Pelodiscus sinensis: one gene and its partners. The protein of the gene in region 4 purifies or fractionates together with the protein of the main gene of each other region. This does not show direct contact. Links are inferred from orthologs where the notes say so. Each region holds a gene or a part of one and is shown on either strand. Other genes may lie near its edges.

Region 1 (7,794 bases), on a different chromosome or scaffold from region 4:
TGTCAGGCCTTGCAGCAAAATGTAAACATTGACACAAGGATTGCACAGAGCAGTTTAGATCTACAACACAACACAAGCAAATATGCTACAGCATAGATCAATGACAGCTAATTACAGTTCAGGGTCATTTATTCATTGCTACACAGACACCTTTTGTATTGTGGTTAAATTTCCAAGCCATAGTGATCTTTCTCCAAGTCAGAAATCTTAATTTTCCCAGTTAAAAAGAGCCCAAGAACACCTTAACCAGCTGCAGTGTTTATATTTGTCTATGTGCCTCTATGTGCTAGGGAACTCCTAGGCCCTCTCTCCCCAAAGAAAGAGAACATTATAAGAAAACAAATATGTTGCTGCTTTACTCCCAGGTGGTATTGGTATATTTCACTGTACTATATTGCACAATGTATTTTAATACTAATGGAAACCAGTAACAATCTCTTTCCAATATAGCTGAAATATTTATCTAATATGTAGTCCTCTTTTACAAAAGGGGTAAACATAAATGTGAAGTTGCACTTCCATATACTTTACAGAAATATGCTTTTGAATATGAATATGCCTAACTTGAATATGATTTGTGCAATATATAGCATATAATTCTATTTGAAAAGCATGTAATCCACTGAATGTGTATAATCTATATATGCATGTATCGTTTCTGTATTCTCTATGATCAAACCTGTCACAATAAATATAGCCATTTTATAGATAAATTATCTGACCCACAGGAATAAGTTAACTGAGCCACAGGAAAGTTATATTACTTGCCCAAGATGACAAAACAAGTAAGTGACAGAGGTAGGAAGAGAAGGTAGGTATCCAGAAACACAGCCTGAGCTACAGTTGTCACTGGAGCAAACACAGAGCGCAAACAAGGCTTCTTAAAACAAAATCACAAGTGTTGCAAGCACCTCCTTCTTCATACAATTTCAGTCAATACAATCATATGTAAAGTATGAATAAGAAATGAAAATTATGTCTTAAGCTTGCAAACAGTTCAGTTAAACAATTTGTTTCATTTTTGCATGTCTCTCAGCTTGGCCAATGGAAATCAAAGGCAATTATATTTATGATCACTTTCCCTGTGAGATATTTACTGCAACAATGTCAAAGACATCTGTTTTCATTTTTAAAAACCATCTGTGGAAACTTTTGTATTTATATTAGACTCACAAAAGCTTATTTTAAGAAATGTTGAGCTAAATGCAAGTTGAAAGCTTCTCCTTTAAAGCCACTCTGCTACAACACACCTAGTAAGGGTCCAATCTTTCTCTTAAGTACACAGCCCTGGAATGAATTTTGCATGGGTGCAGAAGTTGGCCTGTACAGTACTTATTGCAGGACCAGGGCCTAAATCAAGGAGAGCATGAATGGGCTTTAAATTATTCCTCATCCTGTTCTTAAAAAAATGGTTTCTTGATTTTAAATGAATATCACATTAAAATATTTCTAAGTCAGCCTGACAGTTGTCCAAAAGGAATAATTCGCAGAAGCGGTTAGGTCTTGTTCCCTGGGACAGAGAGAGGCCCTCATTTTGGTGTAATTATTAAAGGCTGCTTTTAGCAGTCAAAGGCTTTTGCTTTTGTTTCAGCTACACCAGACTAACACGGCTACATTTCTATCGCTTTTGCACAGTATGTTTCAAGGGGATACCCAAGAAGTCATTTGCATTCACCCAGCTGTGATCTCCAGCATGTGCGTTGGAATACACCTCAGCCCCACTCGCTGCCCGCCCCTGCGCGCAAACCATTTTCCTTTGCACCAAATCCGCAGCCACCAGGCACTTGCGCGGTATCCTCTCCTCCAGAGAAATGCCCAGAGAGTGCTTGACAAACACCCCCCACTTTCCCACCAGCACAGCCAGCCCCACACTAATCCCCAGCACCCCCTCAGCGCAGGACCACCCCAGAAATAACCGCCCCCAAAGTCACAGCATCCCCCAAAGTCATAGCACCCTCTCAGCACAGGACCACCCCAGAATTAACTGTCCCCCAAAGTCACAGCACCCCCTCAGCGCAGGACCACCCCAGAAATAACTGCCCCCAAAGTCACAGCATCCCCCAAAGTCATAGCACCCCCTCAGCGCAGGACCACCCCAGAATTAACCGCCCCCCAAAGTCATAGCACCCCCTCAGCGCAGGACCACCCCAGAATTAACCGCCCCCCAAAGTCATAGCATCTCCCAAAGTCATAGCACCCCCTCAGCACAGGACCACCCCAGAATTAACCGCCCCCCAAAGTCATAGCACCCCCTCAGCGCAGGACCACCCCAGAATTAATTGCCCCCAAAGTCATAGCACCCCTCAGCACAGGATCACCCCAGAATTAACCGCCCCCACAGTCACAGCATCTCCAAAAGTCATAGCACCCCTCAGCACAGGACCACCCCAGAATTAACCGCCCCCCAAAGTCATAGCACCCCCTCAGCGCAGGACCACCCCAGAATTAATTGCCCCCAAAGTCATAGCACCCCTCAGCACAGGATCACCCCAGAATTAACCGCCCCCAAAGTCACAGCATCTCCCAAAGTCATAGCACCCCCTCAGCGCAGGACCACCCCAGAATTAACCGCCCCCAAAGTCACAGCATCTCCCAAAGTCATAGCACCCCCTCAGCACAGGACCACCCCAGAATTAACCGCCCCCCAAAGTCAAAGCACCCGCCTCCTCAGGGGTGGGTGGAGCCCCTGCTTCCCCCCTCCACCCCAAATATGAGCCCCCCAAGAAAGACCAGGGCCTGTCAACCCCCCTTACTGAGCCAGTCGCGCCCCGGTTGCTGGCCGGGCTCCCCCAGGCCTCTCAGGCCGACGCAGGCGACTGCAGGCCCGGCCGCCCCACACGGAAGCTCTCCGCGCAGCGGCCCGCCTACCCCGCGCCGGCGGCCCTGGGTCATGTGCACCGGCGCCGGCTGATGAGTCGGTTCCTGCCCGCGGCCCGCCTGCGCCGCGGAGAGACCTCGCCAACGGTGGGGGGGGAGGCGAGCGCGGCCTGTTGCCGCTGCCGGTTCGGGGCTTGGCACCAGGTAGGGGGGCAGCTGCGGCCCCGCCAGAGCTACGGGCAGAGTAGGGGTTGGCGGGCGGCTGCTGCTAGAGGGGGAAGCAGCCAGCAATGAGGGGGCGGGGGAGAGGCTGGCAGGCCTCCCTCAAGCACTCAGCTGTGTGTGTGTGTGTGTGAGAGGGTGTGTGTGTGTGTTTAGGAGTGTAGTGTGTGTGTGTGTGTGTGATGCTCCCCACTTAGGTTAGACTCCAGAGGCTGCTCCCTAACAAGATGCATCTGTTGCCCCTGAGGCATCTCTTGCAGCTCCCTCCAGCATGGGTCAGTCTAGAGCAGGGTGGGCAATAATTTTAGACGGGAGGCACTTCAGAAATTTTTGAAGTGGCCCCTGGCCACTGTGGAAGGGGAGGGGCCAGGACACTTCTTGCTTTCCTGTCCACAGACCCCGATTGGCCTGGGTGACCCTGTGAAGTCTTTGCCCTCACCCCCCCCCCCCCATAGAGAACCACCAGCTGTTCCCTCTAGGCACCCATGTCCCTGGCAGTGGGCAAAAGGGCGCCCCTTGCAAGGTGGGGACAGGGAGAGAGAGGCTTTGCTTGCTCCCCCTGCCCTCCGGTCAATGAGGGCATGAGAGCAGGGCAAACATGGGGAAATTTCTTGCTCCCTGCCCCTGCCCCACAAGGGGGCCTGGCAGTTGACTCTAACCCTTACAGGGTGGGAGGAGACTGCACGCTTCCCTCCATCCCCAAGCTCTGCTTGGCCTACGGGCAGGCAGAGGGGTTGGGGGGGGAGAACATGTGAAGTCTCTCACTCCATGTCCTGGCCCAGCAAGGGGTGCCCTTTTGCCCACCCCAGCCAAGTGGCAGTGCTACTGTCACCTCCATGCCTGCCAGGCAGAGCCTGTGGTGTGGCCCCAGGATAGGAAGGCCAAGATGGCAGACTTGCATGTTTCAGATGTTTCAGCTGGAACTCTTCCCCCATCGGGTTGCGGAGGATGGGGAGAGATGGGGTTGGGGATCAGCATTAGGACAATGAAGACAGAAGAACAAAGGGGAGCACAGAGTGTCTGGGAGGGTGGCCTTGAGAGTAAGGATGTGTTAGGTAGCAGGTAATTGACTAGTCATGTACTCAATACAATTTATACTTACTACGTTTAAAAGGCAGAGCTTCTTAACTACATTTAAAAATTAGAGGTGTGGTGGTCCAGGACCCGGCGTGAGCTAGGATTGCTGAATCCCATCTTGTGCTGGGTCCACTGCTGCAGCTCTGCCTTTTAAATATAGTATCATTGATACAGTTTGTAAATTATACAAAAATTGGGGTCCTGGTAAATAATGAAGAGGACAGGTCACTGATTCAGAGCAATTTGGATTGCTTAAAAGCTAGTTCCCCCAGCACTGTCTCTGCAGTGCTACCTGTCCCCCCACCCACACTGCCTCTATCAGAGGCAAATTGTATCAACTATGATGAGTCAATTACCCTCTTCTTAACATCCTTACTAAGGAAACTACAGTGTCAGAAACACACTCCTCATCCTTCTGGCAGCAGCTAGAAAGCAGTGCAGTATAAGCATAAATATCTGAATAATGCAATGACATAAAACACAAAGTAATGCTGTTGGAAAACATAATCTGAGCTATACCTACAGTGTGATGAGTTGTACTAGCTAATTTAGACCTCAAGAGGGAGATCAAGGAATCATGGTGAATAGTTCACAGAAAACATGTTCAATGTCCAGGCAGTCAAAATAGGTAACAATGTTAGGCATCATTAGAAAAGGGAAAGATAGTAAATAAGGATATAATTTTGTCATGGAAGTTATGGATTCCATGACTTTAATGGACCCATGTGGCTTCTTTGACTACAGCTGCACCACACCAGGAGTGTTGAAGCAGCTGTCAGCCTCCACCCCTGCTCCTGGGTCTGAAGCAGCTTTAAGTCACCCCACCAACAGGGTGGATCTCGGATTGTCAGGTTCCCCACCTTACAGACATGGATTTTATGAATTTTTGTTTGTTGCCTGTTACCTGTCTGTGACTTTGAAAAATTTCTATGGCAAAATCTCAACCTTAATAATAGAACAAAAATATCCTAATACCTCTGTATAAATCCATAGTATGTCCAAATCTTTAATACTGCATGTAGATTTGGTCATCCCCTCTCAAAAACGATATATTAGAATTGGAAAAGGAAAGGGAAGCAACCCCATGCAGTGGGTGTCCTTAGCCTCTGTTTGCTAGCAATTTAGAAGAAAGATTGGATGGCTAACAGTTAGCAACTACCTTGAATCATATTTAGCCATCCAATCTTTCTCCTAAATTGCTAGGTGAAAACTTTATTTTTAGTCTTTTGGTGCGCTTTTAGAAAGATTGTCTTCTCACAGTGTTTTTTATATATATACTTTAAACTTTATACTGCAGAATCCGCAGTGTGTGGAACTGCTGAGATTTTAAAAAGTTTAAATATTTTTGTCTTTTTGGTCTTAAATATAGTGTGTTTCCACTAGTAAAAACTGCAAGGTTCTTGCCCGCCCGGTGCTCAGGGGCCAGAAGGAAAGAGCCACCCATCTCGGCTCAGGGGCAGCTCTGCTTCCACCGCGGTGATCTGGAGACTCAGCCCCCTCCGTCTCCTCTCCCCATGCTCTGATGGCTCAGTCCCCTCCTTTCCCTTTCCCTCCCCTCTCCTTGTGTTCTGCAGGCTCAGCTCCCACTGTCTCTACTCCATGAGGTGCTGCACTGAGCCAGGCCGCATTGGCACGTGCACAGGAGCGGTATGTTGAAAATCCCATGACATACGGACAAGAACAGTGGCTGCTTAGAAAGATTCTCTAAAAAGATGGTCTAATAAGCTTTATACTGCAGAGCCTACAGTGAAGCCTCCCTGAGAGTGGGGTTACCAGTCCCTGTCGGCTCTGCTCCTGGAGAGGAGGCTTCCCTGCCACAGAGGAGCTGGTGAGAGCTGCTGGCCCTGCTCCTGCAACCTCTGGTGGGAAGGCTGGGCCAGGCCCATCACAGACTCTGGCTGGCCAGAAAAGCCCCTGCTTGCCAAGGGTCCTGTGGGGTTGGAGTAGCCCCCTGATTGGAGTGGGTGCGGAGCTGCTCTGGCCCCTGTGGTTAACTGGAACCAGTAAGCATTACACATTTAGGGTGATGCTTATTGGTTAACTGGTTAACCTTTCACCTCCCTATTCTGTTCATTCCCTCTGAAACATCTGCTGTTGACCACTGTTGGAAGACAGGATACTGGGCTAGTTGGACCATTGGTATGATCCAGTATGGCCGTTCTTATGTAAAACTACAAGAGGAAATTTATAACCTCAGGTTTGCACAGAATACTGTGGTGAAATCTCTAGGTTTTCTGTCTGTAGTAAGGATGTTAAGTATAGGGTAAATGACTAATTGAAAGTCTATGCATTAGTCAATAGGGCACCCTAGGGCTATTGCTACACTTCAAAGGCGAAAGCACCGCGTGGAGCCTGGGGACAGCTGGGACATCCCCGCTGACCCCGGGCTCCGTGCAGAGCTGCCACCGTGAAATGCTGTGGCGTTGTTTCAAAGTGGCAGGGCCGCATGGAGCCCAGGGTTAGCGGGGGTGAGTCTCCAGCTTATCCCAGGCTCCATTAGGCGCTGCAGCTTTGAAATGCCACAAGGAGCCTGCAGCACCGCACTGAGCCCAGGGTCAGCTGTGGATTCCCCAGCTGTCTCCAGGCTCCGTGTAGTGCTGCCACTTTGAAACACTGTGTGCAGCTTGGGGACACCTCAGCTGGCCCCAGAAGGCACACAGCTTTTCAAAGTGGCAGCACCATGTGTAGCTCAGCGTCTGGCCCCAGGCTTCAAGCGGTGCTGCCACTTTGAGGTACCCCTTCTTCTTCCTCCCCCCTTGCTGCCTCTATCTGACTAGTCTTTCACATCACTAGTCTGAAGAATGGGTGTAATGCTTTCCTACAGCACAGAACATCAATGTGAGAATTCATATTCAACAGTGTAAAGAAGATGAATAGGGCTACAAAAATGCCAAGGATCGGTACTTCTGAAGTGCTCCGTAAGAGTCCAAAGGTGCTGTTCAGTGATGAAAATAATCAAGCAGAAGTTCACAGGCGTGAATTAGATTATTATGGAGGCACTTTCCAGCCCTACTGTGTTGTTGTCGTTTAATATTTATAGCGTGGTAGCATCCACAGATGTATTATGCTATGTATTGTGTAAACACAGAGAAAGAGCCAATCCCTGCCTGCCCTAACATCCTACAATCTAATAAAACAAGCAGTTTTCAAAAGATTAGAGCAGAGATTCTCCAACTGTGGTCTGTGGATCACTAGCTGCCCAGGAGCTCCATTCAGGTAGTCCAGAGATAATTCCCTCTAAGCTAAGGTGTGCTGCCACACTGGGAATAATGAAGGGCCACCCACCTAATTAGTGAGGCTACATGGGCATGGCTCCACTAATTAAGTGCCTGGACTCAGAAAGTGATGCACTTGTAAGATGAGGTGGTGGCCTTGGGGGGAACAATGGCTATGTGGGAGAGGGTAGTGGGTTGCAAAGAGGGGATGTTGGGAATTTGGGCTGTGCCGGTGAGAGAGAGGCAATTTCCCCCAGTTTCAGGGCTGCAGCTGCTTGGGAGAGATGGCCCTTTTTCCCAACCCCAACTTGGGGGCTGTCATGGCGGGGGACAGAGAGAGAAACCTCCTTCCTTTGCAGTCCTCGCTGGCTACTGAGATTAGGAGGGGGAAGAGATATCTGCTCCTTTCCCAGCTCCAGCTCTATAGCTGCAGTCGAGGGGGAGAGACATCTCTCCCCAAACT
Region 2 (7,794 bases), on a different chromosome or scaffold from region 4:
ATTTAGGATAGCTAATCCTTTTGGTTTGTTTAATTAACTAGGTTTAAAATCTATCATTCAAGTATACAGTGCAGAAAGCTGCAAAAGAAGAAATCTAAAGCTGCCACCAAGTGTCATTTTCTTATTTCCTACATTTCTTATTACATAATACATACCTCTTATTTTGGAACATCACAGACCATAAGGCTGATGCCATAAGTCTATTCTCTATTTTACACCAGCATAACTCAGCTTTTCCAAGGGAACCCCATTTTATACTTGTTCTCTCAAAACCAGAAGTGCTAGTGAGGTTCAATGGTGCTTGTTGGTTAATGGTTTTGCTTATACTCAACTAGCTCCCAGGGCAGCAGTGAGTGAAGCCACCTCCCTGGGAGCCAGGATGGCAGGATTTGGTGGCCCTGCTCCCAGGATAGCTTTATTGCAGGCTCCCCAGTACAAAAGCTAAATGGTTACTTATACAGTTATCCATAGCTAAGCTTTATACTGCAGAGCCTGCAGCACATATAACTGTGTAATTGCTGACAATCTCAGCAGTTACAATGTTACCCAAATACTCAATTTTTAACATCACCAATGACCATCTCCCACCACTCCTTGGCAAACAAGTTGGGAGAGTCCCCATTCCCTTCACTCTTAAAATGTTGAAGGGAAGTGAAAGACTTCTCTCTCCTATTAGCAAGAAACTGAATGAGCGGTGGCTGTTCTAGTTCTAGCTATATACCTATGAAGCAAAGAATAATAAAAAAAGATGGCACCTCCCCTAAGCTGGTTCCAGTGACAGTGTTCATATTGTATACCTTCCCAGAAGCCTGGTGATGGATTTCCACACAGATGATGTTACTGCACCTAAACTGAACTTTTCCAGTCCTCAGTCTTTCACATTTGCTAGCCAGTAGCTGACTAGCCATTCAGGAGTGATGAAATGTAGACAATTCACCGGTGTTAATAAACCTACACTTATGAGAAGCTAAAGATATTTACAGACTATCAATGAGTAAAATATTGTTTTTGCATATCACCTAAAAGGTTACCAATTAGGGATGTTAAAAAGCAGGTAATTGGTTAAATGTATAACGACTGAAAACAGTTACCCGAACCAACAACACAAGGTGGCAGCTAGTGCGCACCAGTAAACAGCTTTTATGCTGGCTCCCAGCTCACATTGGCTCCCACCTGCTGCCACACTCCTGGAAAGCCAGTGCGCACTTTTAAGCTGGCTCCATGTGCACACTGACTGCCACCCTTCACCAGCAGGTCCCTAATCTTCCTGTAATTTCCTGCAATAATGAAAATCTAAACATATAAAATGCTTTAAAATAATCAACATTATCTGTCAAAATTATAAGAAAATAAAAGCTGAATTCTGCCAAGCCTAGTTTTATACCTGATAATGTAACATTAAGAGCAGGGTAGGGATGGTCTAGATTGAGGTGGGCAATAATTTTTGATCAGGAGCCACTTCAGAAATTTCTGAGGGGACTGCCCCAAACCAGCCTCTTTCACCTGCCTGGTAATTCTGTTTCTTTTCTGTATGGTTTTCTGAGAAGCAATCCCATTCCCCGCACATCCAGTACTTTACAGTGTAACAAGTGCATTCCATGAACTTTCTTAGAAACTAAGTAATCTACAAGGACAGAAAATGGCACACATGCAGGCTGACAAAGAATTAATCGTCATTCAAAAAGTTGAAGTGAAATTGCAAGAGAATGCCCGGCTTAGTTCCCTTCAAGCCACAGCAAACACACAACACGGAACTAATTTATTCTAGCGTGACTTATCTGCTAATCAAGACAAACTGCAAAGAAAGAGGCATCACTGTTTCAGCAGGAAAAATTCCCAATGCATGTAAATACACCAGACAAAAGTCAGTTTATCCCTCTTGTTTGATTCTCCCATGATTGTTTGGGATATTTGCTAAATTATCTCAAGTAGTTACTGGGGATGTGGAGGGAGGAAAAACAAAAGAAAGATGAACCTTTAAACCACAAACTGAATATGAATCAATGTGATGCAGTTGCAAATGAAGCTAATATTCTGGGGGAAAGGAGGTATTATCAGGAGTATTGTATTCAAGACAAAGGAAGTACTTTCCTACTTTACTCAGGACTGGTGAGGGCTTAGCTAGGAACTTATCTAAATCTGGGTGCCAATTTAGGAAAGATCTGGAGAAACTGGAAAGAGTCCAGATGAGAGCAACAAAAATAATAAAGGATTAAAAAACACACACAAAACCCTGACCTATGGAGAAAAGTCATGTTTAGTCCTGAAAAAAAACCGGGGAGGAGGGGATGACCTGATGATAACCGTCAAATACACTGAGAGAAGGGGCACAGGGAACGATGATCAACTGCTCTCCATAGCCACTGAAGCCAAGATAAGAAGTCAATTGCCTTAAACTGCAGCAAGGGAGGCGCAGGTACTAGAAACACTCCCGCGGTAAGAGCTGCCAGGGACGCCCCATCACTGGAGAGCGGCCAGAGCAGGCAGGGATGGGCGAGGACAGGTTGCCTGGTCCTGCCCCAGCGCAGGCAGCTGGCGGCGGTGACCTCACCAGGCCGGACACCGGTGCGACCCCAAGCCCAGCCTGCAGCCAGACAGGGCCGGGACGAGCGACACTGACCCGCGGCCGGCTCCGGGCGCGCTGCCTCCCAGGGGGCCAGGCCCAGGACAAAGCAGGGAAGGGTCACTCCCCTCCCCCCCCCCCCGCCTGCGGAGGGCACGCGCGTGACAGGCAGGCGCTGCTGGACAACCGGGTGCAACCGTCCCTGTCCCCCCCACCGGCCGCGCTCTTGGCCGTTGGCTCCCGCCCGCGCCCCGCTGCGAAGGGGAGGGGCCCGGGGCGCTCTTCTCGCGCCCCTCCCCCGCCGCTTACTCTGGGAACCGTCGTCGAAGCGGTCGAACTCCCAGTCCGGAGAGAGGGTCTCCAGCGCCATGGCAGCAGCGCCCGGCCTCCGGCACGAGACTTCCGGCGGCGCGCATGCGCACGCTGCACGCCGGGAAATGGAGTGCGGCGGGGCGAGCGCGAGGGCGGCAGGGACGGAGCCAGCGAAGGAGCCAGGTCCTGGCCCGGAGGGGCCGCAGCAGCAGCGCCCCCTCCTGGAGCAGCCGTGGGAACTGCAGCCGCCGCCGCCGCCTGGCTGGGCCCGCGGTGCAAGGGCAGGACCGGCAACCGCCACAGCCCCGCTCGGTGCGCCTGGCGCTGGCTTGCGGGGCCGGAGCCCGGGCAGCCATTCCCGGCTCTGACACTGAGCTCCTGGGTGACCGCAGGTGGCGTCGCTCCCGGTGCCTCAGTTTCCCCACCCGGGACCTGTCTGATCTATTTAACACTGTGAGTGGGGACGTTGTGTTGGGTTTGATGAAAGTTACTTAAATTTCTTACAGACACTGTTGTAGCAGGTGAGGGCGTGGAGTTGCCATACAACAGTCCCTGTAAATATGGTAATAGAAAGGTAGCCGTGTTAGTCTGGGGTAGTTGAAGCAAAATGCAGGACTAGGTAGCACTTTAAAGACTAACAAGATGGTTTATTAGGTGATGAGCTTTCGTGGGCCAGACCCACTTCCTCAGATCAAATAGTGGAAGAAAATAGTCACAACCATATATACCAAAGGATACAATATGGGGTACAGACAGTGTGGGGGGCTCAAGGGAGGGAGTGGAGGTGCAGGCGTCAGGGCCGGAGCCTAGGGGGTGGAGTCCTGTGTTCCCTCTAAGCTGAGCACATGGGCACTCAGGAAAGGTTCAAATGCTACTCAGCTGATTAGTTGAGCACCCACAATGCCCACAGCTGGTAGCATGTTTTTCTACTTGGGGTGCACACCTGCACATGCCACAGTGCATGTAACAAAAATTTATTCTGCACATTGTTGGAAAAAATTAGAACATTGATACGGTCTTAGGCCAGGGAGCAGGGTGTGTGTGGAGGTGTCAGGGCAGGAACTTGAGGATGTGGGGGCTCAGGGGAGGGAGCTTGGTATGTATGTTGGTAGCTGCAGGAGTCAGGGTTGGTGTGAAGGGGGGCTCAGGGCATGGGGTATGTGTGGATGCAGAGAGCACAGGCGCAATTGGTATGGTACAGCAGGGAGGTCAAGCCTCCCACTCACCAAGATTCATACTAGGAGTCTGCTTCCTGTTCCCTTTCAACACTCTTGAGCAAGGGAAGCTCACAGCCTGGGTCACTCACTCCATAAATAGCACCCTGCAAATCTCAGAAGCTCATTTGGGAGTGTGCCACACCTCCACCTGCAGCCAAGTGCTTCATCAAACCCAGCTCTTTCTTGCCAGAACAGCACACCGGCTTACTTTCAGCTCTGGTTTGTGCAGGCCTGCTGATGCGGAGGCTGGTTTGTGCAGGCCTGCTGATGCGGAGGCTGGGGGGAAGGAGGGCAATAGGGGCAGTTGCCCTTGGGTCTGGCATTTCTAAAGGGCCCAGGGTTGTAGCAGTGCCTGGAACCCCATTTCCTTTAAATTGCTGCCAGAGTACCCCATGATGTGCTTCAGGCTACTATAAAGACTGGAAGGGGCTAGTTCTTAGTCATCTGAACAGCAGTGAGGGCTGGCTGCCCCAGCCCTTCTGCCCAGGCCTCCTTACCCCCCCCCCCTTCCAGAAATGCAAAGCCACGCTCCCCCTCACTTTGCCCAGGGGTCCAGCATGGCTGTTGGCTCCCCCATGTTTGTGAAATATGTACTGAGACCCTGACTCCAGCTTCTAGGTCGCAAATAATATGTCTGACTAGGGACGTAAATATCCATTAAAGTTAAACAATATACTTATAATAATTTCACCAGTTAACCATGGAGAGCTCATGGGCTCTTGTTGGTCTGGCAGGACCTCTGCCACACCAACAGCACCACAGCCAGGGGGCTGCTCTGGCCTGGTTGTGTGGAAAGCAGGGAACTGCTCTGGCCCTTCCATACCATGGGTGGGGTGCTGCTCTAGCCATGCCATGATCTGGCCCTGCAGGTGCGTAACCAGGGGTCCGTGCTGGCTCGGCCAGGCCCCCTGCAACTGAGGTCCTGCTGGCCAAAGGCCAACGGAAGAAAGGAGAATTTGCTCCCACCAGCCAGGCACTGTGGTTAACAGGTAAGCATGCCAGTAAGACTAATGCTTACCTGGTAACCAGTTAACCTTTTACATCCCTACTTCCAGTCCAAAGCAGCAGCAGAAAGTTGTAATAACAGCCATTGCAATAATTAGGTTTAAAATAAGAGCAGCAATAAAGAAGGGGAGCACCTAAGGTTACAGGATTTGGGAGGAACATCAAGAATAGGTCCACTGAGAACAGCAGTGCCACCATCTAGTGTACCAGCTGCAGAGGTAGCAATAACATCAGGAGCAGTGTCACCAGTGGTAGCACCAATTTCAATAGAAAGAATAACAGCCACAAAAGGGACTACAGCAGCAAGAGCAATATCACTGAGATCAAGGTTAACAATTGCAATAGCGTCAGGAGCACCAGCAGTTATATTCATAGCAGCTACAGATTTGCCCCATGTTACACTTACCTAGGTGAAGACAGCAATTTCATCATTTGGCATTTATTCAATTCCATTAGGAGCCCAAAGGACTAATAAATATAGACAGAAAGTGGTTTCTAGGGAAGAAAGGTTTTGCTGTGTGTGTTTTATTAAGACATTTGAAATCTCCATGATCAATTTGTATCTTGTTTAAATAGAGGTGAAAAGAACAGACTTGGAACAATAGTGCGGAGATTCATTTCTTGTCAAATAACAGAAATAATAAGTCAATCTGTGGGATAACTTGAAAAAAGAGAGATGATGTATGTATTTTTGGTACATGGCACTAGTGTCACTCCTCAGTTAACTGGTTTCTGTGCAAATATCTTTTTTAAGGCCACAAAAAAATTAAGAGCTTGATTATACAACATGCCAGGAGTGGGCAATAATTTTTGATGAGGGGCCATTCCAAGATTTTAGAAAGTGGTCGAGGGCTGCACTCTTCCGGGATATAAATGGAAAAATTCTGGGGTCTGGGATGGAGGTAAGGTGCAGAAGGGAGCTTAGGGTAAGGAAGTGGGGTGCAGGAGGAAGAATGGGGTCTGGGAAGGAGTTTTGGTGAAGAAGACAGTTGTGACCTAGGGCAGAGGGCTGGGATGCAGGGTTCTGGGATATGACCTAGGCTAGGAGGGGACTGTGATCTGGGGCAGGAGATTGTGGTGCCAAATCTGGGAGGGAGTATGGGTGCAGGAGGAGGCAGAGGGTTTGAGTATGTGGAGGGGGGATAGAGAGCTGGGGTGCCAGAGGCAGGTTCTGGCTGGGAGGCACTTACCAGCAGAAACCTGAGGCAGACAGCCTGCTGTAGGCTGCTCATTGTTCCACTGCTGGCATGAGAGAGAAGGGGCAGGAGGGAGGGAGAGAGAATGCTTCATATTCCGCCCCTGTGCCCATCAAAAATTCTTGGCTCCTATTAGCCGGAAACTGAGAGATTGACCAGTGGGAGCTAAGAGATTTTGCTGGGGGGCGGGAACAGCACAAGAAGTCCTCCTCCTTCTCCCTCCCCAGCCCTCCTGAGCAGAGAACAGCTGGCTTTTAAAAACATGAAGGCTGTGTCTACATTGGTGAGATCTTGCGCAAAAATGCTTGCTTTTGTGCAAAAACGCGCAAAAACTTGCTGCCTGTCTTACACAGGCCACAAGTTCTTGCGCAAGAATACTGACATTCTAATGTGTGCAATCAGTGCTTCTTGCACAAGAACTATGATGCTCCCACTCAGGAATAAGCCCTCTTGCACAACTGTTCTTGCGCAAGAGGCCAGTGTAGAAAGGCAACATGAATTTCTTGCGCAAGAAAGCCCTAAGGCTAAAATGGCCATCAGAGCTTTTTTGTGCAAGAGAGCGTCTACACTGGCATGGATGCTCTTGCGCAAAAGCACATCTCTTGCGCAAAGGCACATGCCAGTGTAGACGCTCTCTTCTGGAAGAGTTTTTGCACAAGAACTCTTCCGCAAAAGAGTTCTTGCGCAAAATCATGCCAGTGTAGACGTAGCCGAACTAATCTCTGCCTTAGGGTTCTGCTGAGGCAGCCATGAGTCAGATCTGATGGCTTGGCGGGCTGGATCCAGCCCAGTGGCAGCCTCTTGCCCACTCCTGCAACATGCTGAGCATCAGAAAGGACAAGGTTCTCTCACTTTCCATTTAACTCAGTGGTAAATGGATAAATGCACAGTTATCTTCACATTTGTATTAAGCTCCTGGAGGAACTGGGCCCTAATTTAGACTAAGGATATAAAATCACATTTAATTAGTTAACAGGTTAAATGTTAAGGTTAACCTATTAAATAGGGGGTGGAATGCCCCTGCACATGGCACCCGGGGCAAGTGCTGCTGTGGGCAGGAACTGCTCTGGCCAGTGGAACACCCCCTGCCTGCTGTGGGCCCCATGAAACTGGAGAAATCCCCTGCCTATAACAGGTGAGAGAAGGGGGGGTAGGTTCTCCCGACCCCCCACCAGTTAACCATTCACATCCCTAATTTAGACTTGAGATTCAGGGCCATATTCCATGTATATGCAACTTTCATTGAAGTCAGTGAAGGTCTCATATATTTAAAGTCAGGATATAGCTTCCAATTTTTAAAAATAAAACAATACGTGAACTGAATATATAGGAGAAATATATTCCAGAGTGTGTGAGTTTTTATGAGACTGCAAAATGTGAACAAAGTGAACTAACCAGACATTGTGAACAATTGCCAAGCTCTGTAATCATGTGTATAGAGATGTCTATATAGGGTGCGTCTACACAGCAGGACTTAACTTAAAATAAGATATGCAAATTG
Region 3 (7,908 bases), on a different chromosome or scaffold from region 4:
GGGGAGCAGGGTGGTGGGGACTCGGGCAGGGGCCACACTCACACTCATCGTAGAAGCCGTAGATACGGTTGATGCTGGCGCACTCGTGGTTGCCACGCAGCAGGAAGAAGTTCTCAGGGTACTTGATCTTGTAGGCCAACAGGAGGCAGATGGTCTCCAATGACTGCTTGCCCCGGTCCACATAGTCGCCCAGAAAGAGGTAGTTGCTCTCAGGCGGAAAGCCCCCATATTCAAAGAGCCGCAGCAGGTCATAGTACTGCCCGTGGATGTCACCTGGGGAGGGCAGGAAGTGAGATAAGGATCACCCTCCAAATCCCCCCCCCCGAAGAGTCACCTCTGGAAAGGGCCAGCAAGGGGGCCACAGTTCCACCCCTGACCTCCCACCCAGCCCGGTCTGAGCCAGGGACTCCACCCACAGCAAACAAGGGGTGCAGGGAATCCCCACATCATCTCTCCCACGGCAGCTCCCGCCCCCCAGCCTCACTCACCACAGATCTTGAGCGGCGCTTCCAGCTCCAGCAGGATGGGCTGGCTCAGGAAGATCTCCCGCGACTTGAGGCAGAGGCCCCGGATCTCGTTCTCCGTCAGCTGCACATTTTTGCCAGGCCGCGAGCCTTGCACTGCAACATAGAACAGTGGGTGTCTGCTGGGTCGAGGTCCTAGCTCCTGCACTGCTCAGAGACACTCCCACAGATCCCAGGGCCACTCCACAGATGCTGGAATGATCCAGGGGGCCACAGGGCTGAACCCGGAGGTTCTTCTGGACAGGCCCGTGTACCACATCCCAGCCAAAGGCCAAGGGTTTGCCCTGCCCCTTCCACTTGAAGGCCAGGTTAACAGGTGACTCAAGACCAACAAAGGGGGAAGGAAGAAGGCACCACAAGAGTCCTGGCCTAGCCTGGGTCCTCACTGATCTGTGCAGGCAGCTCAAGGAGGCGCAGTTAGGCTGGGATCACACAGGCCCCTTGGCCAGAACCCAGATGGGCTCTTCAAACACTAGGACAGCTGGGAGGCCCTGAGCCCCTCTCCCTCGTCCTGCTGAGTCAGCCAGTGCCCCCCACCATGGAGTAGGATCGGAGTTGGTGCATGCTAGAGGGAAGCCTATTCCCTACTCCCTAGCTCTGGAGTGGCCAACCTGTGGCTCTTCTGAAGTTAATATGTGACTCCTTGCTCAGGGCACTGACTCCGGGGCTGCAGCTCCAGCTGCCAACCTTCCAGTGCTCAACTCGGCTCCACCTCCTCCTCCAAGTGTATCGCACCCTCCCTCCTTTCCTCCCCCACAGAGCCTCCTAAGTGCCTTGAAACAGCTGATTGCAGTGGGCAGGAGGTACGGGAAAGAAAAAGGAGGCGCTGACCGGTGGGGCATCTGGTGGGGAAAAGATAATGGAGACGGGAAAGGAGGCACCTGATGGGGACTGCTGACAAATTACTGTAGCTCTTGGGCAATGTACATAGGTAAACTGTGGCTCCTTCTCAGGCAGGCCACACTTGCCCTACTGGTCACACTGGAGTGCTTTCCGCCACCGCACACTGCAGAATACACAAGCTTCGAGAGGCAGGTGGCCCAGCAACTGATGCTGGACTGGCATGCTGGGTTCTTTCCCCACCTCTGAATTGCTCTAATCTTAGGCTGCTTCCGTCCCCCATGCCTCAGTTTCCTTACGTGCCTCGGTTTCCTTATATGACACAGGGAACCGATGCCTCTGCTTTGCAATATGTGATGGACAAGAATGGGAGATCACATAATCTGCCATTCAGCACCTGCTTCAGCCCAGGGTCTAGCCCCAGTGGTCTGCTGCCAATCTGGCCAACGTAGCTGGGGTCCCCTCCCCCCCCAACACCCCTAGTGTTAAAAGGATCAGGGAAGTAACAGCTAATCTCCCCCACACATTTTGTTGGCAGCACTGGAACAAAGAAGTTAGCACTAGGAAGACTGGTTAACACCTCCCCCCTCCCCGTTTCACATATACACAAGGGGGGGGGGGGGGCTGGCCAGGAAAGCAGGGGTTACTCAACATTCCCCGCACCTACTCTGGCCCCAGGACTGCTCAGGCCGGTCCCAGCCCTCCAGAACTCAGGCTCCTCCCCACACTCCCCCAGGGCTTTCAGGAAGAAGGAAACTGACGTCAGACACAGCAGGGCTCTGGGGGCGGGTGGGGTGAAGGGAGCTCGATTCCCCCCCGCTCCCCATAACTAATGTTGCTGGGGGCCGGCCTGGGGGATAGTCCCCATTCTTTGCGTGGAATTAAGTGGCGGGGAGGGTGAAAGGCCAGGAACACCCCACTCCCTGCCCCCCTCTTCCTCCACCAACAGCCACACTCTTCCCCCCATCTGAGATCAAGCCCCCACCGCGCCTCCAGGAATAGGAGTCTCTAGCTCCTCCATGGGGCCTATGGGCAGCGCGCCCCACACGGGGCTGCAGCGAAACGGACCCGTCAGGGGCCCGGGGCAGCGTGGAAGAGACCACTGGAGCTCCGCGACCCCCACGCCGCCTTCCCGCGTAGGGGCCAGCCCCGGCCCTCCTTGCACCCACCCACTCCCTGCGCCCAGCCCCGCGTGGGGCCGCCCTCCGCCCGGGATCGCCCAGCCGGCAGGAAGAGCCGAGCGAAAACAAAGGAGCGAACGCGGAACTTCCCGGAGCGCCCGGCCCGGGTCTTTGCAGCCCCGGGGCTTCCCGCAGCCCTTCCCGGCCGGCGGCCCAGCCTATGCACGGGGGGGGGGGGGGGCAGGATGCAACCGGGCAGCCCCCCCCCCCACGCCCGCAGCCCCCTGCTCGGGCCTCCCCCGCACCTTCCAGCAGCCGCCCAATGATGGAGTCCAAGTTGAGTTTCTCGCCCTCCGACATGGCGGCTTTGCGGAGGGGCAGGCCCGGACGCCTGGCTTCCTGCTGCTGCACTCGCCCCCCACCCGCCTGGCTGCGCTAGGTCCGGGCCGACTGGAGGCTGCTGGGGCCGAGAACCTGCCGGCTCTGCCGCTTTCAGCCAGGAGGCGGGTCGGGAGCGCGCGGCCTGCCGCCCCACCTAGAGGAGCGGAGGGATCATTGGCAGCCACCCGCCCAGAGCCCCGGGGGAGGGGCGCCGTTCCGCAGCCCGTCCCCTGCCAGCAGGGGGCGCTGGCTGCCGGGCGCTCCCAGCGACACCAGCCGGACCTCGGCCAGCACAGGGAGTTATGGGGAGCGGGGTGGGAGCGCAGGCTGCAGGTGGAGCACGGAGCTAGTCTAGACCCGGCCTCTGCCGGCAGGGGGCGCTGTGGGGGTGGGGCACTAGCTGTAAGGAGCTCCCATCTACACTAGCCCGGCTTCTGCCAGCAGGGGGTGCTGGGGGGTGGGGGCACTATCTGTAAGGAGCTCCCAGCTACACTAGCCCGGCTTCTGCCAGCAGGGGGTGCTGGGGGGTGCGGGCACTATCTGTAAGGAGCTCCCAGCTACACTAGCCCGGCTTCTGCCAGCAGGGGGTGCTGTGGGGTGGGGGCACTAGCTGTAAGGAGCTCCCAGCTACACTAGCCCGGCCTCTGCCAGCAGGGGGTGCTGGGGGGTGGGGGCACTAGCTGTAAGGAGATCCCAGCTACACTAGCCCGGCCTCTGCCAGCAGGGGGTGCTGTGGGGTGGGGGCACTAGCTGTAAGGAGCTCCCAGCTACACTAGCCCGGCCTCTGCCAGCAGGGGGTGCTGGGGGGTGGGGGCACTATCTGTAAGGAGCTCCCAGCTACACTAGCCTGGCCTCTGCCAGCAGGGGGTGCTGTGGGGTGGGGGCACTAGCTGTAAGGAGCTCCCAGCTACATTAGCCCGGCCTCTGCCAGCAGGGGGTGCTGGGGGGTGCGGGCACTATCTGTAAGGAGCTCCCAGCTACACTAGCCCGGCCTCTGCCAGCAGGGGGTGCTGGGGGGTGGGGGCACTAGCTGTAAGGAGATCCCAGCTACACTAGCCCGGCCTTTGCCAGCAGGGGGCGCTGTGGAGGTGGGGGCACTAGCTGTAAGGAGATCCCAGCTACACTAGCCCGGCCTCTGCCAGCAGGGGGCACTGTGGAGGTGGGGCACTAGCTGTAAGGAGATCCCAGCTACACTAGCCCGGCCTCTGCCAGCAGGGGGCGCTGTGGGGGTGCGGGCACTAGCTGTAAGGTGCTCCCAGCTACACTAGCCCGGCCTCTGCCAGCAGGGGGCACTGTGGGGAGGGATGCTCACTCTGAGAGCAGGGGGCGCTGTGGGGAGCAGAGTGGAGGCACTGGCTGGGGGCGAGAGGGAGTGCCTGGCTACTCCAGTCCCAGCCTCTGCCAGCAGGGGGCACTGTGGGGAGGGATGCTCACTCTGAGAGCAGGGGGCGCTGTGGGGAGCAGAGTGGAGGCACTGGCTAGGAGCGAGGGGGAGTGCCTGGCTACTCCAGTCCCAGCCTCTGCCAGCAGGGGTTGCTACAGGAAACAGGGTGGCAGCACTGCCCCACATACACTTCCCCCTCCCCCACCCGCATGCTGCTTGCTGCCTCAGCCCTGTCAGGTGCAAAAGGAAATGACAGTGCGGAGGAAATAAGCTTGCAGCACCCACGGGGAGTGCACCAGACTGAGGTGCTGCCACGGGACAGATGCAGGGCCACACCGCCTGGGCACTGCTCCGTTGGGAATGGCCCAGGGCATGAGCTAAGGGGACTGGACACAGTGGAGGTGAGTGGGAACGGGGGAGCAGCTCAGTGGGAGGGCTCCTGGAGGGGCAATAGGAGGCGATAGGAACCTCCCTGAGCTGTACTGGGGCCAGGCTTGGAGGCAGGAGAGAAAAGAGAAGGGGGGGGCAGGGTTCTGTGTGAGTGTGGGAGAGGGATGTTACACGTGTTCCCTTTCCAGTACACATAGGGCTAGAGGGGTTGGGCCTCAGGACCAGGGGATGGGAATGCAGGGGCTCTGGGCTGGAACCAAGGATGGAAGGGTCGGGGTTCAGAGCCCTGGGATGGGCAGATGCTGGGGGGGAGGGGTCCTGGGCTAGGTAGACCCTGGGGAAGATGGGAGCACAGGGCCCTCCACTGGAACTGAGGGGAGATGAGGGTGAGGGGCCCTGAGCTGAGCAGACCCTAGAGGGGAAGAGTCCTGGGTTGAGCAGATCCTGGAGGGGATGTGGGTACGTGGCAGATCCTGGGGGAGATGGAGGTGTGGGCCTGGGTAGGGCAGACCCTGGAGAGGATGTGGGTACGTGGCAGATCCTGGGGGAGATGGAGGTGTGGGGCCTGGGTAGGGCAGATCCTGGAGGGGATGTTGGTGTATGGCAGATCCCGGGGGAGATGGAGGTGTGGGGGCTGGGTAGGGCAGATCCTGGAGGGGATGTGGGTGTGTGGCAGATCCTGGGGGAGATGGAGGTGTGGGGACTGGGTAGGGCAGATCCTGGAGGGGATGTTGGTGTGTGGCAGATCCTGGGGGAGATGGAGGTGTGGGGCCTGGGTAGGGCAGATCCTGGAGGGGATGTGGGTGTGTGGCAGATCCTGGGGGAGATGGAGGTGTGGGGCTGGGTAGGGCAGATCCTGGAGGGGATGTGGGTGTGTGGCAGATCCTGGGGGAGATGGAGGTGTGGGGCTGGGTAGGGCAGATCCTGGAGGGGATGTGGGTGTGTGGCAGATCCTGGGGGAGATGGAGGTGTGGGGCTGGGTAGGGCAGATCCTGGAGGGGATGTGGGTGTGTGGCAGATCCTGGGGGAGATGGAGGTGTGGGGCTGGGTAGGACAGATCCTGGAGGGGATGTGGGTGTGTGGCAGATCCTGGGGGAGATGGAGGTGTGGGGCTGGGTAGGGCAGATCCTGGAGGGGATGTGGGTGTGTGGCAGACCCGCATTCCCACTCACCTCCACTGTGTCCAGTCCCCTTAGCTCATGCCCTGGGCCATTCCCAATGGAGGAGATGGGGATGTGGGACTCTGGGCAGTGCAGATCCGGCGGGGATGGTAGGATGGGGCTTTGGGTGGGGCAGTCCATAGGGGTGATGGGGATGCGGAGCCCTGGGCTGGGCAGACCCTGGAGGAGATGGAGGAGCAGGTCCTGAATGGAGCAAACCTTGAGAGGGGTGGAGGTGCAGGGACATGGGGGTGAGGGGACCCTGGGCTGGGAAGACCTTGGGAGGGATGAGAGTGCAGGCTGCTGGGCTGAACACACCCTGAGGGAGATGGAGGTTCAGGGCCTGGGCTTGGCAGACCTGGATGGGGGTGCGGGCCCCTGGGCTGGGCAGACCCTGAGGGAGATGGGGGTTCAGTGGCTGGGCTGGGAAGACCCAGAGGGAGATGGGGGTGCAGGCCCCTGGGCTGGGAAGACTCTGAGTAGGATGGGGGTTCAGTGGCTGGGCTGGGCAGACCCTGAGGGGGATAGGGTGAGGGACCCTGAGCTGGGCAGAACCTGGCAGAGATGGAGCAGGGACTGTGTGATGCAGACCCTGGGAGGAATGAGTAAGAGGGGCCTTGGCTGGGCAGCCCCTGGAGAGGACGGGGAGAGGGGCCTGGCAAGTTATACTTCAGGGTTGTCTCCTGGGATGTTCGTTTCTGGGCTGGCCTTGCTGGGCACTCACTGCGGGCCCCTGTCCCTGCCCTCCCTCCCCTGCAGGGTGCTGAGATCACGGCATGGCATCCGGCCCTATGTCCTCCGCTGACTCCTCCAGCCTCAGCACCCTGGAGGAGCTGTCCGATGCCTTTGACTCCACCCTGGGGCGCCATGATGACTCCAGCTCGTTGGGCTCCGACTCTGAGCTGAATGGGGCTGCCCCCTATCGCCAGACGGACCGTTACGGCTTCCTAGGGGGCAACAGTGCCCAGGATGGGTGAGTGGGACACATCTGGGCATCGGAGCACTAAAAGGGGGGCATTGTGGGGGCGGGAGGTGCTGTGAAGGGCATTGCTGGGGTGGCCCAGATGCCGGGTTCTATTCCAAGTCCTGATTTCTTGCACCCTGGAGCCATTGTGGGTACTGGACTGACACCCCCATTGCCAGCCCCGCAGAACAATCTCTTGGGTTCTGTGCCAGAATCCAGCATCCCCCCCTTCTGTGCACTGAGGCTATGGGGTGTTCAAGCCCAAAGAATGGACATACGCGGAGAAACTGAGCCCCTGGCCTGGGGATGAGTCAGGCCACACCCCAAGCTAAGAGTAGCAGCTTGTGGGTGTTGCCCTGCCCCCTGCCTCTTTCCGAGTCTTGCTCCTCCTAGGGGTGGGGCAAAAGCAGGGAAGGGGTGGAGCTTGGGGAATGAGGGTCTTGGGCACTGAGGAGGGGGACAGTTTGCAATTCTTGCATCATGCCTCTGTGCACCAGTCCCCTCTTCCTAACAGCCTGATGTAAGAGAGCCCTGGCCCAGGGGACCTGCCAGTGGTGCCCCCGAGGGTCCCTACACCAAGCTGCTAATGAGCCAGTTCTGCCAGGAAGGCACAATGGCCCAGGGCACCCCGGCTCACGCTCTGTTCCTTCCCCCAGCTGGGAATCACAAGGAGGTGCAGTGTCCCAAGGCTGGATTCAGGCAGAGTCGGCTTCAGCAGCCTCATGGCTGGCTAAGTTGGGGTTGCTGGAGCTTTTGGGGTGGGGTTCGGAAGAGTCTGCACCAATAGTCTCCAACCTTTTGAAGCCCAAGATCGCTTTTTGAATTTAAGTGCAATCCAAGATCTACCTCAAACCCAAATACCCTTTCCCTGCCTCCTTCCCGCCCCTTCTCCGAGGCCCCGCCCCTGCTCACTCCCTTCCTCCTGCCCCTTTTCTCCCTCCCTTTCACCAGGCAGGCTTTGGTCTTGGACTAAGGGATTTGGCGTGTGAGAGGGGCTCTGAGCTGAGACTGGGGCAGGGGCTTGGGATGCAAGAGAGGGTACTTAACTGGGGCAGGGGATCGGCGCTGGCTCCAGCTGGACACTGCTTACCACAGATGGCTCCTGGGGGGTAGTGCAGTGGGGCTAAGGCAGCCCCCCCCCCCC
Region 4 (7,206 bases):
ACCAGCTCCCTGTTCAGACCATCTGCCTGCCGCCTTGCGCTGCTGCTTCTGAAACAGAGGCAATGGCACATGGCGGCAGCAGCCCCCGTCTGGGGGGGGGGGAAGGACACACACACAGTCTGTCATCACAGAGCAGCCTCTGACCACAGTGGGCCCAGGCTCACTGCAGACAGAGGCTGCTCTGCAAGATGGGGGGGGGGGGGGGGGGGGAGAGAAGGAGGCAGAAATGTAGAGCTGGGGGGGGAGGCTTTTAAATCAGCTCTCCCCAGCACCTGCTTCCACACACACACACACACACACACCCCTCTGCTGCCTCTGATACAGAAGCAGAAAGGGGGAAGAGGGGGGAGAGAATGCCAGTAGTTAAGATTAAACTTAGGCTTATTGGTTAATTGTATACTTAACTATTCATTTATATCCCTAGCCCTCTCTGAAAAATCTTAAACCACTTAAAATAGCAAACTAGAAATGATTGCCCCAACCTACATCATTGGCCATAGTTCATCTATTAGAATTTCTGAAAAAGCACTGAAGCGCAGGCAATGATTCATAAGACAATATAAAGTGATATTTAACTTTGTTAATTGACTCACTTTTGTTTACCTTTCTTTGAATAAAGCATACATAATAAAGACAGGATGTTTGCGAGTGCAATCAAAATGTATCAACTACTTTCACACATTATCCTTGGAATTTATGTACTCATGCTTTGTATAATTAAATGCTTCCTTGCAAGACTGGATTCCATCCACTAAGGACTTACAATGGGGTCTCAGTCTTAGTTGGAGCCTCTAAAATCTACTGTAATATAAAAAAAATAAATATTTTAACTGTACAAAGGTACAAGAACCTCATTGTCAGCTGCTTAGAAGAAAAATAAAAAGTTAGGCCTTCAGGTACTTGAAAGCATCAGTGAAGATTTTAAATACTGATACTGCATAAAAGTAGTCCCCCAAAAGAGGAATTTTTCTACAATATTTAGACTAGCACATCAATAGCGTCTTCTCAACCAGTCTTCATACAGTTATGAAAAGGAAATGAATATCTTCAGCTATAAGATTCAACTACAGGCAGTCCCCGGGTTACGTACAAGATAAGAACAAACCTACAGTCCCTAAGTTGAATCTGTATGTAAGTCGGAACTGGCGTCCAGATTCAGCCGCTGCTGAAACTGACCGCCAGTTCTGACTTGCATACAGATTCAACTTAAGAACCCCAAGCCTCCCCAAGTCAGCTGCTGCTGAAACTGATCAGCAGCTGATTCCAGGACGCCTGGGGCAGAGCAGCTGGGGTGCTGCTGGGTTGCTCCAGTAGCACCGCTCCTCGCTCCTTGGTGCTACTGGACCAACCCAGCAGCACCCCAGCTGCTCTGCCCCAGGCGTCCTGATTCAGCCACTGCTGAAACTGACCAGCAGCAGCTGAATCAGGACCTGGGGCAGAGCAGCTGGGGTGCTGCCGGGTTGGTCCAGTAGTGCCCAGAGCGGCGCTGCAGGACCAATCGGCAGCGCCCCAGCTGCTTTGCCCCAGGGTCCACAACAAAAGCCTGATCTGCTGGGGGGGGGGCACACTAGCTGCGCCCCCCCCCTCCCCCAGCAGACCAGGGACACGGGGAGCACAGCCACAGCAGCAGCGGGGTGCCGTGCCTCTGAGGCTTTGCTCTGGCAAAGTCTCAGAGGCGCGGGACCCTGCCGCAGCTGCGGCTTCAGTCCCGGTGCCCGTGGTCTGCTGAGGACTGTCTCCAGCAGACCAGGGGCACCGGGAGCAAAGCCGCAGCAGCGGCGGGTTCCCGCGCTTCTGAGGCTTTGCCAGAGCAAAGCCTCAGAAGCGCGGGAACCCGCCGCTGCTGCGGCTTCAGTCCCGGTGCCCCTGGTCTGCTGGAGACAGTCCTCAGCAGACCACGGGCACCGGGAGCAGCTTACGAACGGGGCTCTCTCGCCCCGGAGCTCGCAGGCAGCAATCCGCCACCTCGACCTCCGGGGCGAGAAAGCCCCGTTCGTAAGTCGGGGACTGCCTGTACTCTACCACCACTTTGGGACATCAGTCTTACAATTTGCTGAGTGGAGGGACATCCCTCAGACATGAGCCTGAAGTGGGGCTCTACACAGAAATGAGACTGTCCTGGTAAATCTAACTACTTCATCAGATCTTTGGCTAGAAGTCTTGTGCTTGTTTATAGCGGAAGTATCTAATGGAATCTAGGATAAGTAAAAACTGCCGTCCATTTGAAATAAAAGAAAAGTTTTAAAAATTGCAAGGTAGAGGAAACATGTTATTCCATTCACTGAGCAGCTCTCAAACAAGACTGAGTACACCTCCAGATCCACGTAAGAAAACCAATGCACAAGCATGACATGGTCTTCTATTAGTGCTAAACACAGCTTTCCCTAGAAGCAAGGATAAGCTGATCTTTCAAGATATTTCCAGGTATTAGAGTTATGACACTTCAATCCACTTTATTAAAGAAGTCTACATGTGTTACAAAGTAGCCCAAAACCTTAAAATGACCATTCAAGTTTTATAAATAATAACAATTTAGCCAGAAATTAGAGTTGCCACTATATAATCACAGGTTAGTTTTGAAAGTGACATACATTCTTCGGCACACACACACACACAACACACTTCCATTTCACAGACAGAATTAAAGTAAGAGTCTTGAAAAGCCATAAAGGACTAAACAGTATACATTCACTTGATAATATGATAACATAAATGTATAGTGAATTGTAAACCAAGCTAAATATCTCAAGAAACAGATGCCCTATCTACATCTGCAATCCCTGCATTCAGAAATGAAGATTCACAGCAGTTCACATCTGTTAAGAGCTCCAGTAGCTTGTTTGCCTGTTACAAACAAGATGCAGTCTCACCATTTTAGCTGACATCACCTTAACTTCCTGAATTTCAGGTGAAGGTTTACAGAAGAGAATCATTCACCACCTTGAATGCCCAGTCCCCTGCCCAGCTTCAGCTCAGGGAGCCTTTTCTTCCTCCCCCAAACAACACCATGCAGCTCTGGAGGCACCTGCTAACACATCTGTCTCTCACCACCAAACCACGTTAGCAGAGCACCCCTCCCCGGCCCTTCCGACTCTGCAGGCCTGAAAGCAAACCTCCCTTGCACCCTCCTCCCCCACATCATGCAAGCCCTGGAGCCACCTGCTCTCAGGCCCTCCCCAAGTCACCGTCCCACCACGTCACAACCCTTCCCGCGCTACTTTCCAGCCACGACATGCGACCTCGCTTCCCACCCCCGGCACCGCCTGCCCAGAACTTGCTCGCTCCGCCCGGGAGCAGGAAGCCCAACGGGCCCTGCCCGGCCAGCACACCCATGCCAGGCCAGGCCGCCGGGGAGAAGGAAGGAGCCCGAGCTGCACGGGGAAAGAGGGGACTAGAGCGAGGGGGCCGGGCAGGAAGGGACCATGCAACAAACGGAGCAGGCCCCTTTCCCGGGGGCGCGGGCACAACCGAGCGAGGGTGGAAGGGAGCACCGGGAGCTGGGCCCCAAGGAAGGGGGGGGCAGCTCCGCTCCGGCGGCCCGCAGCTCCAAGCCTCTCTTACCATGATGGCTCCGCTGGGCTGGGCTCTAGCGACAGCGGCAACTTCCGGTCCCGTCCGGTATCTCTCTGAGCCAGGCCGCAGCCCTGCCACTTCCGCCGTGCCCGTTGCCTAGGAGTGCGCATCCGGGTCACTAAGACTCGGCCCCGCCCATCGCCGCTTCTTAACCAATCCGAGCGCGGTTCTCCGGCCATCGCCAAGTATGGAGCGCAGTACGCGTCGTTCGTTCGGGGGACAGGGAGGAACTAGGAGTGGGACAGACCATTTTCTCCTCCGGGGGGGGGGAGGGGGAACCATACCAGGCAGAATGAGAAGGAAGGAATAGGCAAAGCCGAGGGATAGGGCAAGCGAAGGAACATCCCTGCGAGATGAGATGGGGCGAGTGCAACAAACATGGAGGAGAGAGAGCGGAGTGGGGGGAAGACACAGATCAGGAGGGAGCAACCACTTGCAACAGCGTGGGGAGAGACAACGTGCAGGGGGAGGAGCTGTGCAGAGGGAGTGACCAATCAGGGCAAGGAGGAGGAGAGGCCAATGGGGAAGTGAGATTGAGGCCCCACCCAACGGCAAAGGGGTGTGTTGGCTGGGCCTGGCAGAGGCTTGGAAGTTCTGCTGTGTTGCTATTGCCCCTTGGGTTTAAAAAGTGAATCTTGAGGCAGCCAACCGCGCCTCTCACAAGGGCCTGGATCAGGAAGACGTCACTGCATGTGTTTAAACTCGGGGCAGGCTTTTCACAACAGTGCTAGTTGCATTTATAGGTATAAAAGCTGAAAACCAGTGTGCAAAGTCAGCACTCAAAACTTCAGAAATGGAGAATAAAGGTTGCTCATGCAATTAGGATTTGATCCCTGTGTGCATATTTATGTACCATTTTTAATTATGCTAATGTCACATACTGTGTTTCCCAGGACCACTGGCTTACGCAATGCATGGGATCATAGAGGATATTGAGTAATCATTCTTTAGAGTTACCTTTTCCCATCAGAGAGACCAGGCACCATTCATGATAATGGTGTCAGGTCCCACAGGTTGGAAAAGTTGGCACTCTTACTCAGTATTTTGTGTTAGATTTATGTGTGTCCCCCAGCTTTATTTAAGTAACACTATTCAAAACCTGCTCTGAAAACAGAAACATTAATTGTCTATGTGGGCTTTTCTGTGGGGTTTATCACTATAGTACCTGAGCATTTAGCAAACAATTAATTTGCTTCCACAAACCTGTGGGCTGTGTCTAGATTGGCCAGCTTTTCCGGAAAATCAGCCGCTTTTCTGGAAAAAGGTGCCAGCTGTCTAAACTGGCCGCTTGAATTTCCGCAAAAGCACTGACTTCCTACTGTATGAAATCAGTGGTTTTTGCGGAAATACTATGCTGCTCCCATTCGGACAAAAGTCCCTTTTGTGCATAAGGGCCAGTGTAGACAGCTCAGATTTGTTTTCCGCAAAAAAGACCCGATTGCGAAAATGGCGATTGGGGCTTTTTTGTGGAAAAGCGCGTCTAGATTGGCCATGGACACTTTTCCGCAAAAAGTGCTTTTGCAGAAAAGCGTCCGTGCCAATCTAGACGCTCTTTTCCGAAAATGCTTTTAACGGAAAACTTTTCCGTTAAAAGCATTTCCGGAAAATCATGCCTGTCTAGACGTAGCCGTGAAGTAAAGGAGTGGTGTCATTTCCATTATACAGATAGGAAAATGAAACACTAGGATTAAGGCCAGAAATGTCCACTATTTTGGGGAGGGCCCAGTTTGAGGTACTGATGTCCTGATATTTCAGAATACTGAGTATTATAAAGAAATATTTGTGTTCAAAGCTCATCTTCCATCAACTTCAGTTTGTAGCTGCAAGTGCTCAGCATTTCTGCAGTTCCAACCCCATATATATGCAAATATAACTCCACTGAAGCCAGGAGAGTAATGCCAAGGGAGAATCTGGCCCATTGCATGGCAGCACTTTGCTCTATAGCTTTTTTGGAACAAATGTTTGGCCTCTGCTTCACAAGACTTGGAGTGCCTGATTCCGGAGGACCCTCTGTTAATGCTTTTTGGCATATGAATTGCAGACTTGGCACTAGCATAAGCCAAAAACCCTTTTGTTGCTCCATTTACTTTTCCTAGCCTGGAGGTGCATGCTGTGGAACTGGAAATGCTGACGAGAAGTCACAAAATGTTTCCTCGTCTGATGTAATGTCATTGGATCTGGTATGACATTCTCTGCTATGTTGTGTGAAATGCTTCCATTACGATTGTAACAGAAGCTCTATTCTGTGGGGAATTGCTTCACATTTTCCACGGATATAATATCATGCCCATATATCCTTCTGGCTGGATATGATGAGGGAACAGCTCTGATTTTACTTTACCAGGTTAATACAGGCAGTCCCCGGGTTACGTACAAGATAGGGACTGTAGGTTTGTTCTTAAGTTGAATCTGTATGTAAGTCGGAACTGGCATCCAGATTCAGCCGCTGCTGAAACTGACCAGCGGCTGACTACAGGAAGCCCGAGGCAGAGTTGCTCTGCCCCGGGCTTCCTGGAATCAGCCTCTGATCAGTTTCAACAGGCTGAATCTGGACACCAGTTCTTACATACAGATTCAACTTAAGAACCGCAGGCGTCCCCAAGTCATCTGCTGCTGAAACTGATCAGCGGCTGATTCCAGGAAGCCCGGGGCAGAGCAACTCTGCCTCGGGCTTCCTGTAGTCAGCGCTGGTCAGTTTCAGCAGTGGCTGGCTTGAGGACGCCTGGGGCAGAGCAGCTGGGGTGCTTCTGGGTTGCTCCAGTTGCGCCGCTCCTCGGCGCTACTGGACCAATCCACCAGCACCCCAGCTGCTCTGCCCCAGGCGTCCTGATTCAGCGCTGCTGAAACTGACCAGCAGCGGCTGAATCAGGACGCCTGAGGCAGAGCAGCTGGGGTGCTGCCGGGTTGGTCCAGTAGTGCCCAAAGCGGCGCTGCGGGACCAACCGGCAGCGCCCCAGCTGCTCTGCCCCAGGCGTCGGGAGAAAAGTCTGGACTGCTGAGGGGAGGGCGTACTAGCTGCCCCTCCCCAGGAGACCAGGGAGACGCAGGCGGGGGACCGAGACGCACCGCGGTCCCGCCGCCTGGGTCCTCCGCGGCTTTGCTCCACATCTCCCTGGTCTGCTGATCTGGGCTGTCCGCTGGGCCGTCGGATCCGCAGACCAGGGAGATGGGGAGCAAAGCCTCTGAGGATGCCGGCAGCGGGACAGCTGCGGCACCCGAGCTGTCCGCTGCCCCCGTGCTACGCGGCTTTGCTCCCCGTCTCCCTGGTCTGGGGAGACGTGGAGCAAAGCCGCGGAGCACGCGGGCAGCGGACAGCCCAGAGGCGCCATGGCTGTCCCGCTGACGGCGTCCTCAGAGGCTTTGCTTCCCATCTCCCTGGTCTCGTAAGTCGGATTCGCGTAACTCGGGGACTGCCTGTACCATTGTCCATTGCTTGAACCAAAATGCCATTAAATATATTAGATATGTTCCAGTATTTTTCCAAATACATGTATTTGTATTTAATGTAACAAATAGCACAAATTAAGCAGCCTCAAATTTCAGTTTGGGAAATGGATAGGTTTTCAGACAAGTTTTAGTGCACATACAGCTACTAGGTGAACTGGCACCTACAATGTGAAAAGTAGATGACTT

Evidence for each region.
Region 1: the proteins of CAPZB (region 4) and WASHC5 purify together in Homo sapiens (co-immunoprecipitation; 4 studies listed by BioGRID and IntAct, counting the BioPlex papers as one, with this or other methods). This does not show direct contact. The link is inferred for Pelodiscus sinensis from reciprocal best matches to the Homo sapiens genes CAPZB and WASHC5.
Region 2: the proteins of CAPZB (region 4) and WASHC4 purify together in Homo sapiens (co-immunoprecipitation; 4 studies listed by BioGRID and IntAct, with this or other methods). This does not show direct contact. The link is inferred for Pelodiscus sinensis from reciprocal best matches to the Homo sapiens genes CAPZB and WASHC4.
Region 3: the proteins of CAPZB (region 4) and PPP1CA purify together in Homo sapiens (affinity purification with mass spectrometry; 3 studies listed by BioGRID and IntAct, with this or other methods). This does not show direct contact. The link is inferred for Pelodiscus sinensis from reciprocal best matches to the Homo sapiens genes CAPZB and PPP1CA.

Annotation. Positions count from the first base shown.
Region 1 is NC_134712.1:18,604,262-18,612,055, reverse strand, and holds the start of WASHC5 (WASH complex subunit 5), read right to left. Parts: upstream 3,008-7,794; 5' UTR 2,869-3,007; exon of another isoform or gene 2,754-2,868; intron 1-2,753. UniProt on the Homo sapiens protein: Acts as a component of the WASH core complex that functions as a nucleation-promoting factor (NPF) at the surface of endosomes, where it recruits and activates the Arp2/3 complex to induce actin polymerization, playing a key role in the fission of tubules that serve as transport intermediates during endosome sorting.
Region 2 is NC_134711.1:97,591,206-97,598,999, forward strand, and holds the start of WASHC4 (WASH complex subunit 4), read right to left. Parts: upstream 2,978-7,794; 5' UTR 2,934-2,977; coding exon 2,873-2,933; intron 1-2,872. Other genes in the region: ALDH1L2 (mitochondrial 10-formyltetrahydrofolate dehydrogenase), read left to right, coding at 2,978-3,328. UniProt on the Homo sapiens protein: Acts as a component of the WASH core complex that functions as a nucleation-promoting factor (NPF) at the surface of endosomes, where it recruits and activates the Arp2/3 complex to induce actin polymerization, playing a key role in the fission of tubules that serve as transport intermediates during endosome sorting.
Region 3 is NC_134714.1:127,061,797-127,069,704, reverse strand, and holds the start of PPP1CA (serine/threonine-protein phosphatase PP1-alpha catalytic subunit), read right to left. Parts: upstream 3,003-7,908; 5' UTR 2,846-3,002; coding exon 2,791-2,845; intron 621-2,790; coding exon 489-620; intron 274-488; coding exon 43-273; intron 1-42. Other genes in the region: TBC1D10C (carabin), read left to right, coding at 4,460-4,645, 6,036-6,051, 6,569-6,773. UniProt on the Homo sapiens protein: Protein phosphatase that associates with over 200 regulatory proteins to form highly specific holoenzymes which dephosphorylate hundreds of biological targets.
Region 4 is NC_134733.1:7,659,558-7,666,763, forward strand, and holds the start of CAPZB (F-actin-capping protein subunit beta), read right to left. Parts: upstream 3,005-7,206; 5' UTR 2,934-3,004; coding exon 2,871-2,933; intron 1-2,870. UniProt on the Homo sapiens protein: F-actin-capping proteins bind in a Ca(2+)-independent manner to the fast growing ends of actin filaments (barbed end) thereby blocking the exchange of subunits at these ends.